4 linked regions of the Macaca mulatta genome follow. The protein of the gene in region 2 purifies or fractionates together with the protein of the main gene of each other region. This does not show direct contact. Links are inferred from orthologs where the notes say so. Each region holds a gene or a part of one and is shown on either strand. Other genes may lie near its edges. The genes, in order: CUL4A, DCAF6, CUL4B and TNNC2.

Region 1 (5,001 bases), on a different chromosome or scaffold from region 2:
AACCTGTGCAAATATATGAGGTTGGGGGGCCAACACACCCCGATATCACACCTCACTCCACCTACTCCTACATGGTTTCTGACAAAGGAACAAAGGCAATTCAGTAGGGGAAAAGAGGCTGAAAAACTGGACATTTGCAAGGAAAATACTGACTCTAGATTTTTTGTTTGTTTGTTTATTTTTTGAGATGGAGTCTCATTCTGTTGCTCAGGCTGGAGTGCAGTGGCACAACCTCGGCTCACTGCAACCTCTCCCTCCCGGGTTCAAGCGATTCTCTGGCCTCAGCCTCCCGAGTAGCTGGGATTCCAGGCGCCTGCCACCACGCCCGGCTAATTTTTTGTATTTTTAGCAGAGATGGGGTTTCACCATGTTGGCCAGGTTGGTCTCAAACTCCTGAGTGCTCAGGTGATCCACCCGCCTTGGCCTCCCAAAGTGCTGGGATTACAGGCATGAGCCACTGCACCCGCTCTGACTCTAGATTTATATTTCACAATATATACAAAAATTCACTCTACATAGATCATAGACCTAAATGTAAAACCTAAAACTCTCAAATGTCTGGAAGAAAATATAAGAGAAAACTTTGTGACCTTAGATTAGGCAAGATTTCTTGGATACTAAAAGTACAGTCCATAGAAGAACAAACTGATACATGTGACCTGAAAACTTAAAACTATTACTCTTCAAATGGCACAATTAAGAGAATCAAAAGACAAGTTGAAGACTAGGGAGAAAGTATTTGTAAGGCGAATATCTGATACAGGACTTGTATCCAGAATACTTAATAAACTCAAATACTCAATAGTAAGAAAATAACCAACACAACAAAAATGAGCAAAATATTTAAATAGACACTTCGTCTAAAAAGATACATAGAATGGCAAGTAAATATGAAGATGCTTCACATCAGAGGGAAATGCAAACTAAAACCACAGCGACACTCCACCACACACCCACTAGCGCAGCTAAAATTATAGGCTGAGGACACCACATGCTGGTGGCGGACTGGAACTGGAACTCCCATACACTGCTGGGAGAGGCACAAAAGGGGCAGCCACTGTGAAAAACAAGAAATTTCATAAAAAGGTAAACATATATTTTCCATATGACCCTTGAGAACTTACTTCTAGATAAAGAAGTAAGCAGAACTTACCTGAGAGGAATAAGAATGTATGTCCAAACAAAGGGTCATTCACAGATGTTCACAGCAGCTTTATTTAAAACAACCCAAGGCCGGTGCAGGGGCTCACGCCTGTAATCGCAACACTTTGAGAGGCCAAGGCAGGCGGATCACCTGAGGTCAGGAGTTTGAGACCAGCCTGACCAACATGGTGAAAATACAAAAATTAGCCAGGTGTGGTGGCGGGTGCCTGTAATCTCAGCTACTTGGGAGGCTGAGGCAGGGGAATCGCTTCAATCTGCGAGGTTGCAGTGAGCCAAGATCGCGCCACTGCACTCCAGCCTGGGGTGACAAGAGTGAAACTCTATCTCAAAGAAACAAATAAAAAACCCCAAACATGGACACTCAAATGTCCATTAACTGATGAATGGAGAAAATAACTGTGGTATACCCATTCTATGAGGTAATAAACAAGTTACAATCACATTGCGTGCACATGAATCTCAAAAGCACTGTCCTAAGTGAATGAAGCCAGACACTACAAAATAGATGACTGCATTTAGATAACGTTCTGGAAATGACAAAATATAGCGACAGAAAGCAAATGGGGGACTGCCAAGGGTTAGGAGTCAGGGGAGAGGGCTGATTGCAAAAGTGGTCATGGCAATTTCGGGGGTGGTAAAAATATTCTACCTTTCTACCAAGAAGAGTCTATCTTGACCATGGTGCCGGTTACATAACGGTATATATACATCTGTTAAAACTTCTTGGAGTGCATATTATATGTAGACTGTATCTCAAAGCTGACAAGAAAACATAACTCACTTACACTTCAGACAAAGAATGGATGTGTATGTACACCAAACTGTCAACAGTTTTCTTTGGGTGGTAGGAGTATAGGTGATTGAAGTCTTCTTTTATATATTTTTTATAATTTTTACAATGCAGTCACTTGCATATCCAGAAAAGAATTTTTTTAATTCAAGTATTTTCACAGAAATAAGTGTATGACACATCGTGACCCAAAATGTAGATATCAGACTACTTAATGAACGTTGTTTTACAAAAAGACGACGCCAGAAAAAAACATCCGCATGTAAATAAAATATCCAAGTACGGTAAAATGCACTTTTAGCCATTTTTTGTTACTTTATAAATGGAACACCATCACTTTGAATTAAACGCTACAAAATCTGAATATCTTAAAGGCAACCACTGATCACAAAACAGAGAAGAAAAGCACTGTTTTTGAATTTTGAAGTTTTTCAAAATCTGAATATCTTAAAGGGAACCATTAATCACAAAACACAACAGAGAAAAAACCCTATTACTGTGGCAAGTGACACAGTACTAACAGTTTTATTTATAACGAGAGAAATAATTTGCTGTATACTTGCAAAATATGAGTCACGTGGCTCCTAGAAACACACCTCCTTCTCTTCGGTAATGGGATAACTTTAAGAATCGTTCTAAGCAGCTTAAGCCTGAAAACAAAAATTCCACCACGGCAATAAACAAAACCACTTGTTGCCTCTGGGGCTCCCGGCCCTGCAGTGGAGGCAAACGCCCTGCCTTTCCGCTCCCCGGCGAGAGCCTGCGAGGCACCCGGAGCGGCCGCCCGGCCGCGTCTGCGTCACGCGGGGCAGGAGCGGCGCCCCCAGCCTCGGCCGCCGCCTCACCTGGTAGAGCTCCTCGAGGTTGTACCTGATGGAGGTGCTGCTCTGCACGGCCCGCACCGCCTCGTGCAGCTTCCGCCACGTGTCTTGCGTGTAGTTGTCGGGCAGCCGGGGTCTGTCTGCAGGGCGGAGAGAGAGCGGGCGGCTCAGGGCGCGCCGCGAAGCGCCCCGCGTCGCCACCCCCGACCCGGCCGGCGCCCCAGCGCCCGCGCTCAAGAGGCCCGTACGGATCTCGGGCCTTCCCCCCAGGGCGGGCGGGGTCTCGTGGGGCCCGCTGGGGTCGCCCGGCCCTCGACCCGGCCGCCGCACCCACCTCGGAAGTTCTTGATGACCAGCTTCTTGGAGCCGCCCGCGCCCCCCGGCTTGGCGGGCGCGGCGGCCAGGGCCGCGGGCTTGGTGAGGCCGTTGGTGCGGCCCACGAGCGCCGAGAAGCTGCCCTTCCGCGGGGCCTCGTCCGCCATGGCTGGGCCGGAACCGCCGCGCCCCGCCCCGAGCGCCGCCGCCCGCCCAGCTCCGCTCCGCCCGCCCCGGTCCGCGCGGCCTCCGCCCAGTCCTCCTCGCGCGCCCCGCCCCGCCCCGCCCGCGTGCCCGAGTCCAACCGCCGCCGCGCCCGGCTACTGCTGAGCCCTTAGGGGCGCGCGCTGGGAACCCCTCCTGAGGGATCGGACCCCCCCTAAGAGCTTCGGACACCCATTCCTGGCTCGAGGGCGCGCGCCGGGACCCCCACCCCCGCCCCCGAGGGATCGGGACAGCCCCGGTTCCGGGGGGCGCACCGGGACACCCCCGGGGCTCTGGGTACCCCCTCCTGGCTCGGGGGTGCGTGCCGGGGGCCCCCTCCTGAGGGGCTCGGGAGCCGGGACCCCCTCCTGAGGGCCCCAGGGAGCGCTCCTCCTGAGGGTTCGGCACCCGCACCCGGGGCGTGAGACCACCTCGAGGGCTTGGGGGTGCGCGCCGGGACGTGCCCCAACTTCTGAAGTCTCGGGAGCGCGCGGCGGAGGCACCTTATGAGAGCTCGGGAGCGCGCGCCATGTCCCTCCCCTCCACCCTCGCTCGGGCGCGCGCGTCCCGAGTCCCTGGCCCAGCCCGGCGCGGAGCGTGATCCGCGGCCTCGTTTTCACAAGGGGCAGTCGAGGGGACAGCGCAGTGAAAGGCACTTTAGCAGTGGGGCTGTTCTCGCCACTGGACCCCAAACCCCTCAGCCCGGGCGGGCCCGAACACACAATCAGAGTCGCTGGCGTCCCGGCTGAGAGGACGGGGGCCCGACAGAAAGACCCCGGGACCCCTTAGCCCGAGCGTGTCGCCGAGCCGGTCCCTGGATTCTCCCTCCGGAACCACCCTGCGCACAGGAGACGGGGTCGGGGGCTCCGGGACCCAGACGGACCGAGGGCAGGAAGTGACGCCAGCTGTCCCGCTTGGGGTGTAGGGGGTGGCGCTCTGTGCTCGGCGGCGCTGCCATGGCACACATTACCATCAACCAGTACCTGCAGCAGGTGGGTCCTAGCCGGGGAGCGCGCGGCGGTGTGGCTGGCCCTCGGCGTGTTCCGTGTGTCCCCTCCTGCCTTGGACCCTCAGGCGTCTTCCTTTCGCGCCTCGCCCCCTGTCCTCTGTCCGGGTCCCCGGCGGGCAGCGGCGCGAGCCGACTGAAAGGCCGAACAGCGGCGGCCGGGGCTCCCCTGCAGGGCCGCCGTGGGGGCCGGGCGGTGTCCGTGGATCGCGGAGTTGTCGCGGTGTAAGTAGACGCGGGGGCTCCAGGTCACTGCCCTCATTGCTGGCGTGTGTGGCCGCGCCCCCAGGGGGCCCGAAGGGCCTGCGAGCCGCGCCAAGGGCCCGGTGTGGGCGGTGCTGTGTCGGGTGGACGCTGCTTCCCAGCAGGATGCGGGATGACTTCGGGGACTCCAGGAGGCGATGGAGGGGTAAGCGCGAGGCTGTGGCGGTGTTTCAGGCCGGGCTGGTGTCCCTGGTCTTCGCTGTGTTTTAACGCCCTTCACTCTCCAAGCACAATGCACACTTCATATCGCTCGGTAGATGCGTCTGACGGGTGTTGTTCAACAGCCTTACAGGCTTCAAAGCGCATATTCTTTCCACTTAACTATGCCTGTCCTCAGAACCAGCACTGTGGTAACAGGAATAGGAAAAATAGGGAATGGATTTTTAAAATATTTGAAGGAAACATTACCAGGACGTGGTGAATAAGAATGGGTGGGC
Region 2 (4,488 bases):
TTGCTATATATACATATATGCATAATATAAGCATGTCTTGAATTAATGGCATGTTTCTAGGTTTCATATTAATATGTAAATTTCATTTCTAGTTTTAGCCTCATCTGGCATAGATTATGACATAAAGATCTGGTCACCATTAGAAGAGTCAAGGATTTTTAACCGAAAACTTGCTGATGAAGTAAGATTTTTATTGTACTTACTACAGACCATATTTCAATTTGTTCCTAAAATGCTTCCCTAAGAAAAATTAAAACAGTTTATTATTAGTTGCTAATATGAAACAAGTTAATGCAGTTAAGGAGGTCAAATTTTAAGAAAAAGAAAAATTAAGATAAAAGTATGTCTATAATACTAGGGAGGTAAAATCAAAATAGTAGCTTACTAATTATAATACTGATCATCAGTAATACCAGATTAGTGTGTAGTTTAAGAAAAACAGGTTTGAGTATTCACGTCATTACAATAAAGAATCACACACAAAAAATTCTGTCCTTTTAAGAAAATAATTTTATTATGGCTGTTTCTCCAAAAGCATAGCAATTTTTCCATTTTTAGTATAGCTATTTTTCCATTTTGAGTTTTTCTTAAAAAGGAAATGGAACTTTCTTTTTCAGAATTAGTATATAGCAGAACAAATGATTGAAGAATCTTTTCCTTTATCATTATATTTTAAGATATTTTTAAGCCTGTTGAAACGGTATTTTCAACATGAGTTCTTTGGAGCTCTAGATTTCTTCTGGGATTGGGAGAGGGAAGGTAGATAATAGGAAGGCATTACTCTGGGCCTTTCCCCCCCCAACTTCAGCCAGGGTTTTTATTTGTGGGTTCTCATATACTATTTCTTATGAAAATGAGAATCCATTGCGAAAAATGTTAGTAAGTTGGAAAACCACTACTCTAGACTAACACTGACTGTTCGTAGCACAATTCCCATGTATACTTTCACTCATTGAATAGACCTTTATAAAACACTTGATGTATGTTATACATAATGCTGGGTTTAAAAAAGATAAAGCCCTACCCTCAGAGTTTAGTAGGAAAGACAGTGTAAACAACTAGAACATACTGTAGTGGGGTCTGTGTCCGTCAGAGGTATACACACAGTGTTTCGGAAGCCCACAGAGAGGAACAGCTGTGTTTGTAAGTGGGGTAGATGAGGTGGAGAGGTCTTCACAGAAGAAATAAGAATTGGACAGAAGTCTGAGAATAGTTCACCAGGCAGATTGGGAGCAAAGGAGCATTTAAGACAGAAGGATCAGCATGTGCCAAAGCATGAGAGGGTAAATGAACCATCAGTGTGCCTGGAACCCTAGAGTACATGCACAAAAGTAGCTCAATCAAACTAAACAGGTAGGTGAGGGTAAGATTATAAAGGGCCCTGTGAGGCACCCTAATGAGTTGGGAATTTATTATTTCAGTATTGGGGAATTGTTGATCAGAGTAGCATCTTTCTCTTCATCTGATACTCTTCCTTTCATCCTTTTTTTCCTTTGCCATGTTTTTTGCTTTTCCACTTTTTTCCTTTGCTCATGGTTACATATTGCATCTCTGGATGTTCACGAATATTCAAGTACTATTCTTGGTACTTAAGGCTCAGTTCCTTGTTAACCCTTGCCCCAAAATTTATTTTTGAAGACTACTCTGCTTCAGTCAAGGCAACATCTTCTGAACGGATTCAAGTGGCCCATGGATAATAATTTAACTGTATTGTATCGCTAAAGTTATCAGTTCTCCTATAGGGAAAACAAGGAACCTACAAAGTAAATTGCTCTCAGAAAGAAACTGCAAGTAAAAGCTAAATTAAATTCTTAACTGTTTTAAGCAGCCTCATGTTTTAAGTTTGACCTTTGTTTTTCTGCCAGTTGAAAGAGTTGTGTTCTCTGACCTTCCTCCTTTAAATGCAAGCTACAGTGATTGTTTGGCATTGAATAGACTTAAGGCAGAAATGTAGACATCAGATGCATAAAGAATGAAGTAATTCCTCCTGGTACTGGCTGATTGTTTATTGTTTGCCTGATCTTCAAGGAAAAGGTACAGTTACGCTTTGATCTTTGATATGATTTTTAACTTGCCTTGTAGGTTATAACTCGAAATGAACTCATGCTGGAAGAAACTAGAAACACCATTACAGTTCCAGCCTCTTTCATGTTGAGGATGTTGGCTTCACTGAATCATATCCGAGCTGGTAGGAACTTTAAGTATACTACGAAAACCACTTTTATATTTGAAAAACATGTTATTATTTAAGATCTACTTTAAAGGGGTTTATATATTTTTTAATATCACAAAATGAAGGTAGCTTAACTTCTAAACTAGGATTTCTGTGAATGCTTGTTCTTAGCACAGTAACTTAGTTCCTCATGAACTACATTTGTAGACCTTAAGATATAGTGCATATTCTTTAATGGTAGGTTTGTTGAAAATCAGTCATAGCCCAGACAAAAATAAATGTTACATGCTAAGAAATGAAACATACCTCAGTTTGTTTTTTCAGTATTTTTTTGTTTTAGATAAACTCTGAGGTGCAGTGCCACAGATACATAAAAATGCATATATTACAACTAATGTTCAAGAAGGAATCGAATAATTTATAACAAAAGGTCTAGTATCTGTTATAAGCAAAATACGTTTATCAAACAAAAGAGTTTATCACTCTTCACTGATTTCATAAATGTCTCTATACGTTTGGTATTAGCTCTCATTTAATAATAATAGCTACCATTTTTAGAGTAACTATAATGTATCAGGCTTATACTAATTATTTCACAGTTTTATCCTCATTTAGCTCCAATTGTTAGCCCAAGTCACACAACTGATAAATGTTAAAGCCAGAATTTGAAATTAGCTACCAAGCCCTTACTCCCCTTTGAACTGTAAGTTTCACTTACAGAACTATATTGAAATCATTGATATGACATGCAAACCTCTGGATGGTCTAATCTCAAACTATTCTAGCTGATTTACAGCATTCTTTTCTTCTGTGACTACTCCATCCACACTGGCCCTCTTTGATTTTTGGGGATACATCAAACTCTTTCCCACCTCAGCGTTTTTATAATCATGCTGTCCCCTCCCATCCTCACTCTGTTAAGATAACTTCTTATTTTAAGAACTGCATGAGCAATGAACTAAATATCACTTCCTCAGAGAGAGTGGGGAATGGAAACAAGTATTCCACACAAAGTAGACAGCAGATAGCATTTTTCTAAGCCCTTACAGAGGAGAGAAAGTGTAGCACATCTGAAAAATTGAAAGAAGACCCATATGTTTGTAATTAAAAGAATTAGAGAGAAAATAATCCTCAAATGTAAATGTTAACTATTACCAGGAAGGAGGGAAAACTTCAAATGGTGAAAATAACAACAAAAAATAAACCTGGAATGTAAACAAAAAATGTTAGTAGACCAACAAAATGTTTTTGTAATACTTCTTTGGGTTCCTCTGTTTATTAAATTGTAATAACACTTTAACTTTTTAAAAATATATTTTGTTCAATAACAGCAAGTAACCCGTAAAATTCATCCATTTGAATTCCACATTTGAGGAAGCCGCATTTTAAAACAAGAAAAACATTTACTGGTAATGACACCTAAAATGTGCTTACCCATCTAGTGGATGGCTCTTCTTCAGTAGTTTTCCTGCAGAAAATTCTCTTTCCAGTTGCACAAAAATCTAATTTGTGCTAATGTGGCAATGGTTGGTTAGTTAATAGCTACTACCATCCTTCTTTGGTTTTAGAATTAGATAAGATGTTTTATAATATAAAAATTCTCTTTCTTTCATCTCTTTTTGCCAGCAATCAAAAAGACAATTTCTAGTTGATTTAGTCAGCTTGTCTTCTTGCTTCTCTTATACAAAATACTAGATAGAATAAAGTGCCCAAGAGTTGTATTTCTGCTGCCCTTATCCTTAAGATATCTAGTTATTTGATGGGTCAGTTAGTCAACCACTCTTTTCCTCTCCTATCCAGTGTCCTGCATTCCAAGTACAATAATGTGTGCATGTTCAGGAGAGTTAAAAATGGACTTGGATCAAATAAGCACATGGTAGCCACAAAGTACCTCTTGGCTCATCCATTACTCCAGAAGGCTTCCTAGGAAGTCCAGGGAATAGATAGAAGACAGTTTCTTTCTATTGGAGCTGTGATTTTTAATGAAGGATCCTCTTCAAATCACCTGTAGGGCTTTTACAAACTACAAATACTTACCTAGGTCTCACCTGCTAAAGATTCTGGTTCATTTTAGCTGGATAGAGATTAAGCTTCTACATTTTTAAAAAGCAACCAAAGTTCATCTCATGAATAATGCACTAAAGACTGCTAGTCTAGTGGCCTCTTGAGATGGAAAGGCAGTTCTAACATCCCTGGAAGTTTTGAGAGGCTTTGAAAAGATGGTAATGGTGTGCATGGATCATTCTAGACTCCTCTAGAATGTCTTAGAATCACTTTACTGCCCTGTGTAAAATTCTCCTTTGCCCACACATGTT
Region 3 (4,488 bases), on a different chromosome or scaffold from region 2:
CGTGAGGTCAGCAGTTCGAGACTAGCCTGGCCAATCTGGTGAAAACTCATCTTTACTTAAAATACAAAAATTAGCTGGGCGTGGTGGTGCACGCCTGTAGTCCCAGCTACTCAGGAGGCTGAGGCAGGAAAACCACTTGAACCCAGAAGGCAGAGGTTGCAGTGAGTCAAGATCGCGCCACTGACTCCAGCCTGGGTGACAGAGTGAGACTCCACATCAAAAAAAAAAAAAAAAATTTTTTTTTTTCAAATATTGCATTAAACCTTATTGGAACTGAAACCATCAGTTTCAGGATGCTGCAGTTGGAAGTCTCTTACAAATTCAAATGGCAAAAACAAACAAAATATTCACCTTCACTGTTTTTGTTTTTTTCTTTTTTTTAGACAGAGTCTCACTCTGTCACCCAGGCTGCAGTGCAGTGGCGCAATCTCAGCTCACTGCAACCTCCACATCCTGGGTTCAGGTGATTCTCATGCCTCAGTCTCCCAAGTAGCTGGGACTACAAGCACGCACTACCACGCCCAGCTAATTTTTATATTTTTAGTAGAGACAGGGTTTCACCACGTCGGCCAAGCTGGTCTTGAACTCCTGACCTCAGGTGATCCACCCGCCTCGGCCTCCCAAGGTGCTGGCATTACAGGCGTGAACCACCGTGCCTGGCCCACCTTCACTGTTAATCAAACAAATAGTGAATAAATCATTCAGATTTTTCACCAAGCAAGTTGGAAAAAGAAAATATAATCTTTAGTGCTGGTGGACATAGTAAGACAGGCTCTCATATGCTGCTGGACAGAGTATAAACTGGTTCAGTCTTTCTGGAACACAATATGACATTATGTACTAAGACTCCTAAAATGTTCATACCCTTTAACCCAAAAAAATCTACTTCCACACATTTATCATATATCAAAGAGATTAAAATTTAGGTTCAAAGAGGTTTCTTGCAATTTTATTTATAATACTAAAAAGTCATGAATTTAATTGCCCCAAAATGAACAGTGGTTGAATAAACTGTAAGAGCCATGTAAAAATATTACACTGCCATTTGCCATTTTTTGAAGCTATTTAATGGCATGGAAAAATTCTAAAGATTGAATATTAAATAAACAAAGTAGGATATAAAACCATGTTGAGTATCAACCCAATCCTGTACAAGCACTCTCCCAAAAACCCAAAATCAAATACGGAAATATATTTAGCTGGACATAGCAGAGAAAATGTTAATGGTATTGGCAGTATTACAGGTATAAAATCTTTATATATTTTAATTATTAACATGTATAATTCCAGTGTGTTAGGACTAGGAGAAAGTGAAAGAAATACCGTTTCTTTCATCTGGATTTGATTGATCTTTATCCTGAAAAGTTTGTGTTTGAAATCATCATTACAAATGAACTTGTCACCATCTTCAATATCTTTGCCCTTTGGATTTTTTGCCAGAACTCTAGCTTTGCCACAGGCTAATGACTGCAGTGTTCTCCTTAACTCTCCATCCTCTGAAGAAGAAAGAGAGGTTTAGTTATTTGTTACCAGCATGAACAACTACCACATTCTACCTCAATCTAGTTTCCACTCCATCCCCCTATTAAAACTGTTTCATTTTTTCCCAAAGGTCACCAACAACTCTTCTTTGTCCTAGCCAATGGCTTTTTTCCTAGTTCTCTTCTTTTTTTAAAAAAAATAGAGACGGGGTTTCACCATGTTGCCCAGGCTGGTCTCAAACTCCTGAGCTCAAGTGATCCACCCGCCTTGGCCTCCCAAAGTGCTGGGATTACAGGTGTGAGCCACCACACCTGGCCCCTAGTCATCTTTTAAAGGTGTCAATTATCATATGATGTGCGCAACTACCAAATCTTCCAAAATGACATTTCACTTCTCTCCAGTTGCACGTTTAAATGGCAATTCCGCCTGGCTGTTTTACTATCAACTGTAGTCACGTCCAAAATTTGATTCATCATCTCTATATAACTGTGTCCTCTTTCCAACTGTCAGTGGTGATACTACTAACCTTCGCAATTGGGAAACCCTGAAATCATCTTTTAACTTTTCCTTCTCCCTCATCCTCAACATAATAGCTAGCTGTTGCTTCTGCAGAGATGAATTTTCTCCATTTTCATGGCCTCATTCTAGTCTAAGGCCCTTCCACTTTATGCCTGAATCATCCCAACAGCGTCTAAACTGGAATCCCTTGATCCTTCCAGTTGCCCTGTACATTGATTTCAGTAAGTGGTCCAAATAATTACTTCCACCACGCCACATAGTTGAGACACTACAATGTAGGTTTGCATTTGCTAGATTTATCAGGTTCTCCACAATCAGGCACTACTCATCCTACCTAATTTTTTAACTCACTATTCTGTTACAATTAAGCTCTTCATGATTCTTCATGATTCCGTGCTACAATTAAGCTCTTCATGGGCCTATACTGTGCCCATTCCTACCTCCAATCTCATCTCAAAATATTTCCCCTTGCTGTATATGCCTTCTCCCTGACCAAAACTTGAAGGCCTAGCTCAAATGCCACTTGCTTCATGACAGCTTTCCCAATTGTGCTAGTCCACAGTGATCCCTTGCTTTGTTGAACTCCTACCACACTTAGTCAGTACCACAAGCCAGTACTTATTGGTTCTGACATTATTTCAAGTGTCATTTCCCCCTTTCCCTATGGTTATATTAAGAGTTTTGGCCAGGCGCAGTGGCTCACACCTGTAATCCCAGCACTTTGGTAGGCCGAGGCAGGCGGATCACGAGGTCAGGAGTTCGAGACCAGCCTGGCCAACATGGTAAAACCCTGTCTCTACTAAAAATACAAACATTAGCCAGGTGTGGTGGTGGGCACCTGTAATCCCAGCTACTCAGGAGGCTGAGGCAGGAGAATCACTTGAACACAGGAGGTAGTGGTTGCAGTGAGCTGAGATCACGCCGCTGCACTCCAGCCTAGGTGACACAGCAAGATTCCATCTTGACAGGGGGAAAAAAAAAGAGTTCTGGCTGGGTGCAGGGGCTCATGCACGTAATCGCAGTACTTAGGGAGGCTGAGGCAGGAAGATCCCTTGAGCTCAGGAGTTTGAGACCAGGCTAAGCAACATAGTGAGACCCTGTCTCTGCAAAAAAAATTCTAAAAATTAGCCAGGCATGGTGGCATGCACTTGTAGTCCCATCTGCTTGGGAGACTGAGGCAGGAGAATCACTTGATCCTGAGCCATGATTGTACCACTGGACCCCAGCCTGGGTGACAGACTGAGACCCTCGTTAAAGAAAAAAAAAAACCCTCAAAAGAGTTCTGAGGCAAGGGATTATTCCTATAAATGTCCCTCAGACCTCTTAACACAGTGGTATGCACATAGTGAACACTTAATGTTTGCTAATCAACCAATTCAATACAAACCTATTCCGGTTGCCTGCTTGATCTCTTCTAAACTGAACTCCTCTCCCTCATTAAACATTAGCAGCACCAGTGTTTGAAAAAGAGAGACCTGGAGTTCTTTTTTACCCTGTTGAAGAAATAAAAGTGTTTAGCCATTACTTTTTTAAAAACACATGAAAAATTAATCAAATCATCTCTTACAGGAAAAGCATTTTTCAATTAGTAGATTTAGAAACATGATTAGCATTATCCAGCAAAGCCACTTGACGTGGTAATACAGTATTTCAGTGTGGGGTTTAGGTGTGACCCTACCTAAAACAGGGGGAAGGATTAGCTGACCTTTTAACAGTTTTTTTTAAGCCTTATAAATAGAATAAAGTAATGAAAATTAATCAGCCTTATGTGTCATTCTAGATCTTCATCACAAGCAGCAAGAAATCACCATTTCAAATGTATTTTTTATTTGTTTGGCTCAGATTAGTCATGAAAAGCTAAAGTTTTTTGAGATTAGATATTGCACACTGTTCCCCTTAACTCCCACTCTATTCGTAGCTCCCAGCAACAAAATTTCTGTCAAGAAGTGGCAGTGTTAGGCTGGGTGTAGTTGCTCATGCCTGTAATCCCAGCACTTTAGGAAGCGGAGGCAGGAAGATAGCTTGAGCCCATAAGTTTGAGGTTACAGTGAACTGTGATTGTGCCACTGTACTCCTGCCTGGGTGACAAGAGTGGGACCCTGTCTCTAAAAGTAAATAAATAAATAAAAATAGGAAGTGGCAGTGTAAAGTTTTCATCTACAGGTGAGGAAAGAGTAGGGGAAAAGTTCATTGCTTTTCGTTTTGCAAAAGGGCCAAATCAATTGTGGAAAGACCACACAGCTAAAATTACTTAAAAATACATAAAGCTATGACAAGCTCTCACTGTCGTCATGCGGATATCTAGGATACAATTATAAAACAATAGCTTAAACTGGCCAAACGCGGTGGCTCATGCCTATAATCCCAGCACTTTGGGAGGCTGAGGCAGGTGGATCACAAGGTCAAGAGATAGAGACCATCCTGGCCAACATGGTGAAACCCCGTCTCTACTAAAAATATAAAAAAATTAGCTGGGCATGGTGGCGC
Region 4 (5,033 bases), on a different chromosome or scaffold from region 2:
GCGCTGCCGGCAGGCTTTGACTGCTCAGCCCCTCCCTCGGCTCCCAGGCCCCCAGCGCACCTGTCGAAGATGCGGAAGCACTCGGCCAGCTCCTCCTCGCTCTTCCCCTTCGCGTCCTCTTTCATCTGGCGCACCATCATGACCAAGAACTCCTCGAAGTCGATGGTGCCGCTGCCTGCGGGGAGCAGGTGGTGGACTGAGCCTGAGCCCAGCCACTGCCGCCTTTCCCCACCATCCCCTGCCTCCGAGGGACACCCACTCACCGTCCTCATCCACCTCCTCGATGATGGCGTCCAGCTCCTCCTTGGTGGGTGTCTGGCCCAGCATCCTCATCACCGTGCCCAACTCCTTGACGCTGATGTCCCCACCACCATCAGCATCAAACATGTCAAAGGCAGCCTTGAACTCTGCACGGGAGGGCAGAGGGCAGAGGTGAGGCCAGCTGGACTGTCAGCCTCACATCTACCCCCCCAACCCTGCCCAGAGGCCAACATGTCCCCAGCATACATCCACCCAGCGCCCAGCCTGCTGCGCCTCACTCACCAGCGATCATCTCCTCGCTGAGGTAGGACCTGGCCTCAGCCTGCTGGTCCGTCTGCAGGAGACACAGAGAAAGTCTGAGCTGAAGAGGCAGCCCCAGGGCAGTTGCACACCTGAACCCCATTCTTCCCAACCCTCACTCTCTCAGCGCTTCTTGGTCCTCCAAAAGAACAACTTCAAACTTGCCACATAATTGTGTGCCCGCACAGCACCCAATCACAGTTTTGTTTTGCCTTGCTCTGTCACACAGGCTGGAGTGCAGTAGTGTGATCATAGCTCACTGCAGCCTCAACCTCCTAGGCTCAAGCAGTCGTCCCGCCTCAGCCTCCTGAGTAGCTGGGACTATAGTGCACACCATGCCTGACTATTTTTTAAGTTTTTGTAGAGACAGAGTCCCACTATATTACACAGGCTTGTTTTGAACTTCTGGGCTCGAGTGATCCTCTCACCACAGCCTCCCAAATTGCTAGGACTACAGGCTTGAGTTACTGTGCCCAGCTTCTGACCCCAGTTTTTGTTTTTGTTTTTTGTTTTTGTGACAGAGTCTCACCCTGTCGCCCAGGCTGGAGTACAATGGCGTGATCTCGGCTTACTGCAACCTCCACCTCCTGGGTTCAAGCGATTCTCCTCCCTCAGCCTCCCAAGTAGCTGGGATTACAGGCATGCGCCAACACGCCCGGCTAATTTTTGTATTTTTAGTAGAGACGGGGTTTCACCATGTTGGCCAGGTTGGTCTTGAACTCCTGACTTCAGGTGATCCACCCACCTTGGCTTCCCAAAGTGTTGGGATTACAGGCGTGAGCCACCATGGCTGGCCTGACCCCAGTTTTTTTGTTTGTTTTGTTTTGTTTTTGAGACAGAGTTTTGCTCTTGTTGCCCAGGCTGCAGTGCAATGGCACAATCTCAGTTCACCACAACTGCAACCCCCGCCTCCCAGGTTCAAGCGATTCTTCTCCCTCAGCCTCCCGAGTAGCTGGGATTACAGGCATGCACCACAATGCCCAGCTAATTTTGTATTTTTAGTAGAGATGAGGTTTCTCTATGTTGGTCAGGCTGGTCTTGAACTCCCGACCTTAAGTGATCTGCCCGCCTCGGCTTCCCAAAGTGATGGGATTACAGGCGTGAGCCACCACATGTGGCCTGTGACCCCAGTTTTGAGAAAAAGAGAGGAGACAACAAATTAAGCCCAAGGCCTTCTCACTTGTCAATTGAAGGCCAAGTCAGGAACCCCCCAGTGACCTTAGGCAAGTCACTTAGCATGCATTCATCTTTTCTCTGTAGCTTTTCAGGGATGAGATATCAGCGGTGTGAAAGGGTTTTGTAAAGGCTAGCACCATTCCAGCACTATTTTCCAGTTTTCTGTAGCTCCTAGTGGTGCCCGGTACTTTAATTGTTGCTCAATAAAATGTTTGTTCTCAAATAAATAATAATGCAACACAAAGTTATTGAGTACTTGCTGCACGTCAGGCCGCAGATCAGGCACTGGGACCACCAAGAAGAGACAGAGGACACATCATCCCGCCCCTCAGAGAACTGGCAGAGTCGGAGACTGTAAGCTTCCTTCTTAGGATTCAGTCATTGGAGAAAAGGCCCCTCATGTTGGGCCGAATGTGATGGAGGCCTTGACCTGAAAGTGAGATATCTGCGGGGGTTTCCAGGTCATACCCAAGCCAGGCCATCTGGGCCAGAGGCTTTGGATTGAGGCTGGCAGTGAGGACGGGGTGAGGCTTCCAAGGAGCTCTTCAGCCGGCTGGCTGCCGGCCCTCCTCCTTCTCCCCCTCCTTCCTCTCCTCCTCTTTCCCTGTGCCAGGAGGGCAGGCTATTTTTAGTCAGGCATGGGCAACAGCAGCTGGCCTCCGGGATCTAGTTACTCCTTGAAGTGAAGTGGGCAGGGGGATCTCAGACGAAAACAACAGCTCCAAATCAGAACCCCTCTCTAGGAGAGCAGAGTCTCTCTAACTCTGGTCTGTCATCTTCTGCCCCTTCCCATCATCCTCAGGGCTCCCAGAGCCCTGCATCTGAGCAGGCCCCACACCCTGCCCACCTCCTGTCTTCTGGACGAGGCTTTCTTCTCTCCATGATGATAGGAGGGTTTGCCAGGCTTCTGGCTCACCCCTGCCACTGGCCTGCTGGGTGACTCACTCTGACCCCTCAGAGTCCCCACTGTGTGAAGGAAACAAGCTAAGAGCTCCTCACAGGTCTACGAATGACACTGCTGGAAGTTTCCGAAGGTGAGTAGGCAGTCAGCAAGCCTTGAGGATCAATCTCTGGAATATCCCAGCCCTCCCCTTTCAAGAAAAGTCAAAGGCCTTCCTTTAAGACACCTGGGTTCCAGGAACCTCCATGCTCCAACCTCAAACATCCCAGTTACTGCCCCACAAAGCACTCAGGTCTGGCCTGAAAGAGGTCCAGAGTGCTCCCGCAAGTAAAGGCACAAAGTTCCCTCTTGTCCTTACCATGGTTGCTGGTGACCAGGACTCCTCTGCTGCAGGTCGCCTCCTTTGCACTCCGCCACCCAAAGATGCCCTGGCCTGCTCTAGCCCCCGGGATTTGTAGGGGCACCCTCCCCTCCCACCTCCCTGCTCCCCAGCACTGGAGACCCTGCCCAATCAGATCCTGGGGTCGGCGAGCCCCACCCCTCCCACAGTCTGAACCCATTACCTAATTTAGCCAAGGGCCCTTGCAGAGAAATTTAAGCCTCCAAGCAGGTGGCAGGCCTTGACGTCCTAGATTCTTGTGAGGAAGTCCCGCCCTGTTCCACCGCCTTGGAGTCCCCCCGACCAAGGAAGCACACTAGCTCCAAGATGGTAAGGACTATCAGAGTAGTAAAGAGTGAGGCAGCATGGTAAAATGGGGAGAGTACAAGCCTTGAAGTCCAAAACCCAAGATCCAAGGCCAGCCTCTGCGAGCTGTGTGACCTTGGGCAGGTAGCAGTGCCTCTCTGAGTCATTTCTTCATCTGTGGGAATGGACCTCTCTGTGGGGTCTCCCTCACAGAGAGAACATGGTAAATGGGAACCCAGGTATAAGTCACCTAGCTTGTGCCGGGTACACAGCGTTGATGCTTGGCAAGAGGAATGTCCTGTCTTTGAACCATGGTAAGGGGCAGGGGATAGAAGGAGGGGAAAGTGACAGCTAGGCCACTGTTTACTGAACCCCCACAATGTGCCACACACTGTGCTAAGCATTTTAACATGATCTCATCTAGTGCTCCTCCTATGAGATAGCAACTATTATTATCTCCATTTGACTGCAGAGATTTGTAAATCATAAAGGTCTATACTCACTCTGTCACCAAGGCTGATGTGCAGTGGTACTATTATAGCTCACTGCAGCCTCGATCTCCTGGGCTCAAGTGATCCTCCCACCTCAGCCTCCCGAGTAGCTGGGACTAGCAGTGCGCCACCACCCCTGGCTTTTTTTGTTTTCCTTTTTTGTATTTTTTGTAGAGATGGGGTTTCACCATGTTGCCCAGGCTGGTCTCGAACTCCTAGGCTCAAGGCATCCTTGAATCCTTGGCCTCCCGAAGTACTAGAATTACAGGCATGAGGCACCATGCCCACCCATGTTGATGATTCTTATTATTAATCCCGATTGGAAGGAAGTTGGGACAGACAGTCCTTGGGGGACCTGTCTAGATGGAAAAATGTATGGAGGGATGGAGGAGAGGAGGATGTGCATTTGGAGGAGAAATAATCATTGAAAGCAAAGATCCTTCTCTCAAAGTTACCTTCTCCATGGAAAGGGTGTTTGGATTCACTTTTTGGGGGTAAGGAGTAGGCAAGGGAAGGTTATTTAAGTGGTAAAGGGGTAGCTGGCCCCTTCCTAGAGCTCAGTGAAGACATCTGGTCATCTGGGGAGTAAAGGGGTGGGCAAAGCAAGTCCAGAGGGAACCCACCCTGAGAATCCACAAGGTAAAGGCTGGGCACTGGGGAGTAGGCAAGACTTGTGGACAGTGACTACGTCGACAGAAAGAGCACCAAGACAACCGATAGCAGGCTCTGGGGCCAGGAAATGGGGGCTGGACACCAAGGAATGCAGATGGACAGTGACAACTGGGCTGCCCCCTTCCCCTATATATAGACATTCCCAAGGAGAGCTCGGCAGGGCTGGGCCAAGCTAAATAAGGCCTCCCCCAGGCAGGCAGAGTGCCAAAGCCTGAGACCCATGGGATTCCAATTTAGTTTTTGGTTTTTTTTTTTCTTTTGAGACAGAGTCTCACTCTGTCACCCAGGCTGGAGTGCAGTGGCGCCATCTCAGCTCACTGCAACCTCCGCCTCCTGGGTTCAAGTGATTCTCCTGCCTCAGCCTCCCAAATAGCTGGAATTACAGGCATGAGCCACCATGCCCAGCTAATTTTTTTTTTTTTTTTTTTTTGAGACGGAGTTTTGATTTTGTTGCCCAGGCTGGAGTGCAATGGTGCGATCTCGGCTCACCACAACCTCCGCCTCCTGGGTTCAAGCGATTCTCCTGCCTCAGCCTCCCGAGTAGCTG

What was found.
Region 1: the proteins of DCAF6 (region 2) and CUL4A purify together in Homo sapiens (affinity purification with mass spectrometry; 8 studies listed by BioGRID and IntAct, with this or other methods). This does not show direct contact. The link is inferred for Macaca mulatta from reciprocal best matches to the Homo sapiens genes DCAF6 and CUL4A.
Region 3: the proteins of DCAF6 (region 2) and CUL4B purify together in Homo sapiens (affinity purification with mass spectrometry; 6 studies listed by BioGRID and IntAct, with this or other methods). This does not show direct contact. The link is inferred for Macaca mulatta from reciprocal best matches to the Homo sapiens genes DCAF6 and CUL4B.
Region 4: the proteins of DCAF6 (region 2) and TNNC2 purify together in Homo sapiens (affinity purification with mass spectrometry; 3 studies listed by BioGRID and IntAct, with this or other methods). This does not show direct contact. The link is inferred for Macaca mulatta from reciprocal best matches to the Homo sapiens genes DCAF6 and TNNC2.

What each region holds. Positions count from the first base shown.
Region 1 is NC_133422.1:107,452,412-107,457,412, reverse strand, and holds the start of CUL4A (cullin-4A), read right to left. Parts: upstream 3,273-5,001; 5' UTR 3,258-3,272; coding exon 3,110-3,257; intron 2,916-3,109; coding exon 2,800-2,915; intron 1-2,799. Other genes in the region: PCID2 (PCI domain-containing protein 2), read left to right, coding at 4,251-4,286. UniProt on the Homo sapiens protein: Core component of multiple cullin-RING-based E3 ubiquitin-protein ligase complexes which mediate the ubiquitination of target proteins. As a scaffold protein may contribute to catalysis through positioning of the substrate and the ubiquitin-conjugating enzyme.
Region 2 is NC_133406.1:25,600,877-25,605,364, forward strand, and holds part of DCAF6 (DDB1- and CUL4-associated factor 6), read left to right. Parts: intron 1-92; coding exon 93-181; intron 182-2,082; coding exon 2,083-2,188; intron 2,189-4,488. UniProt on the Homo sapiens protein: Ligand-dependent coactivator of nuclear receptors. Enhance transcriptional activity of the nuclear receptors NR3C1 and AR. May function as a substrate receptor for CUL4-DDB1 E3 ubiquitin-protein ligase complex.
Region 3 is NC_133426.1:126,930,915-126,935,402, forward strand, and holds part of CUL4B (cullin-4B), read right to left. Parts: intron 3,495-4,488; coding exon 3,389-3,494; intron 1,497-3,388; coding exon 1,324-1,496; intron 1-1,323.
Region 4 is NC_133415.1:98,614,612-98,619,644, forward strand, and holds the start of TNNC2 (troponin C, skeletal muscle), read right to left. Parts: upstream 3,044-5,033; 5' UTR 3,000-3,043; coding exon 2,997-2,999; intron 596-2,996; coding exon 544-595; intron 408-543; coding exon 264-407; intron 176-263; coding exon 61-175; intron 1-60. UniProt on the Homo sapiens protein: Troponin is the central regulatory protein of striated muscle contraction. Tn consists of three components: Tn-I which is the inhibitor of actomyosin ATPase, Tn-T which contains the binding site for tropomyosin and Tn-C.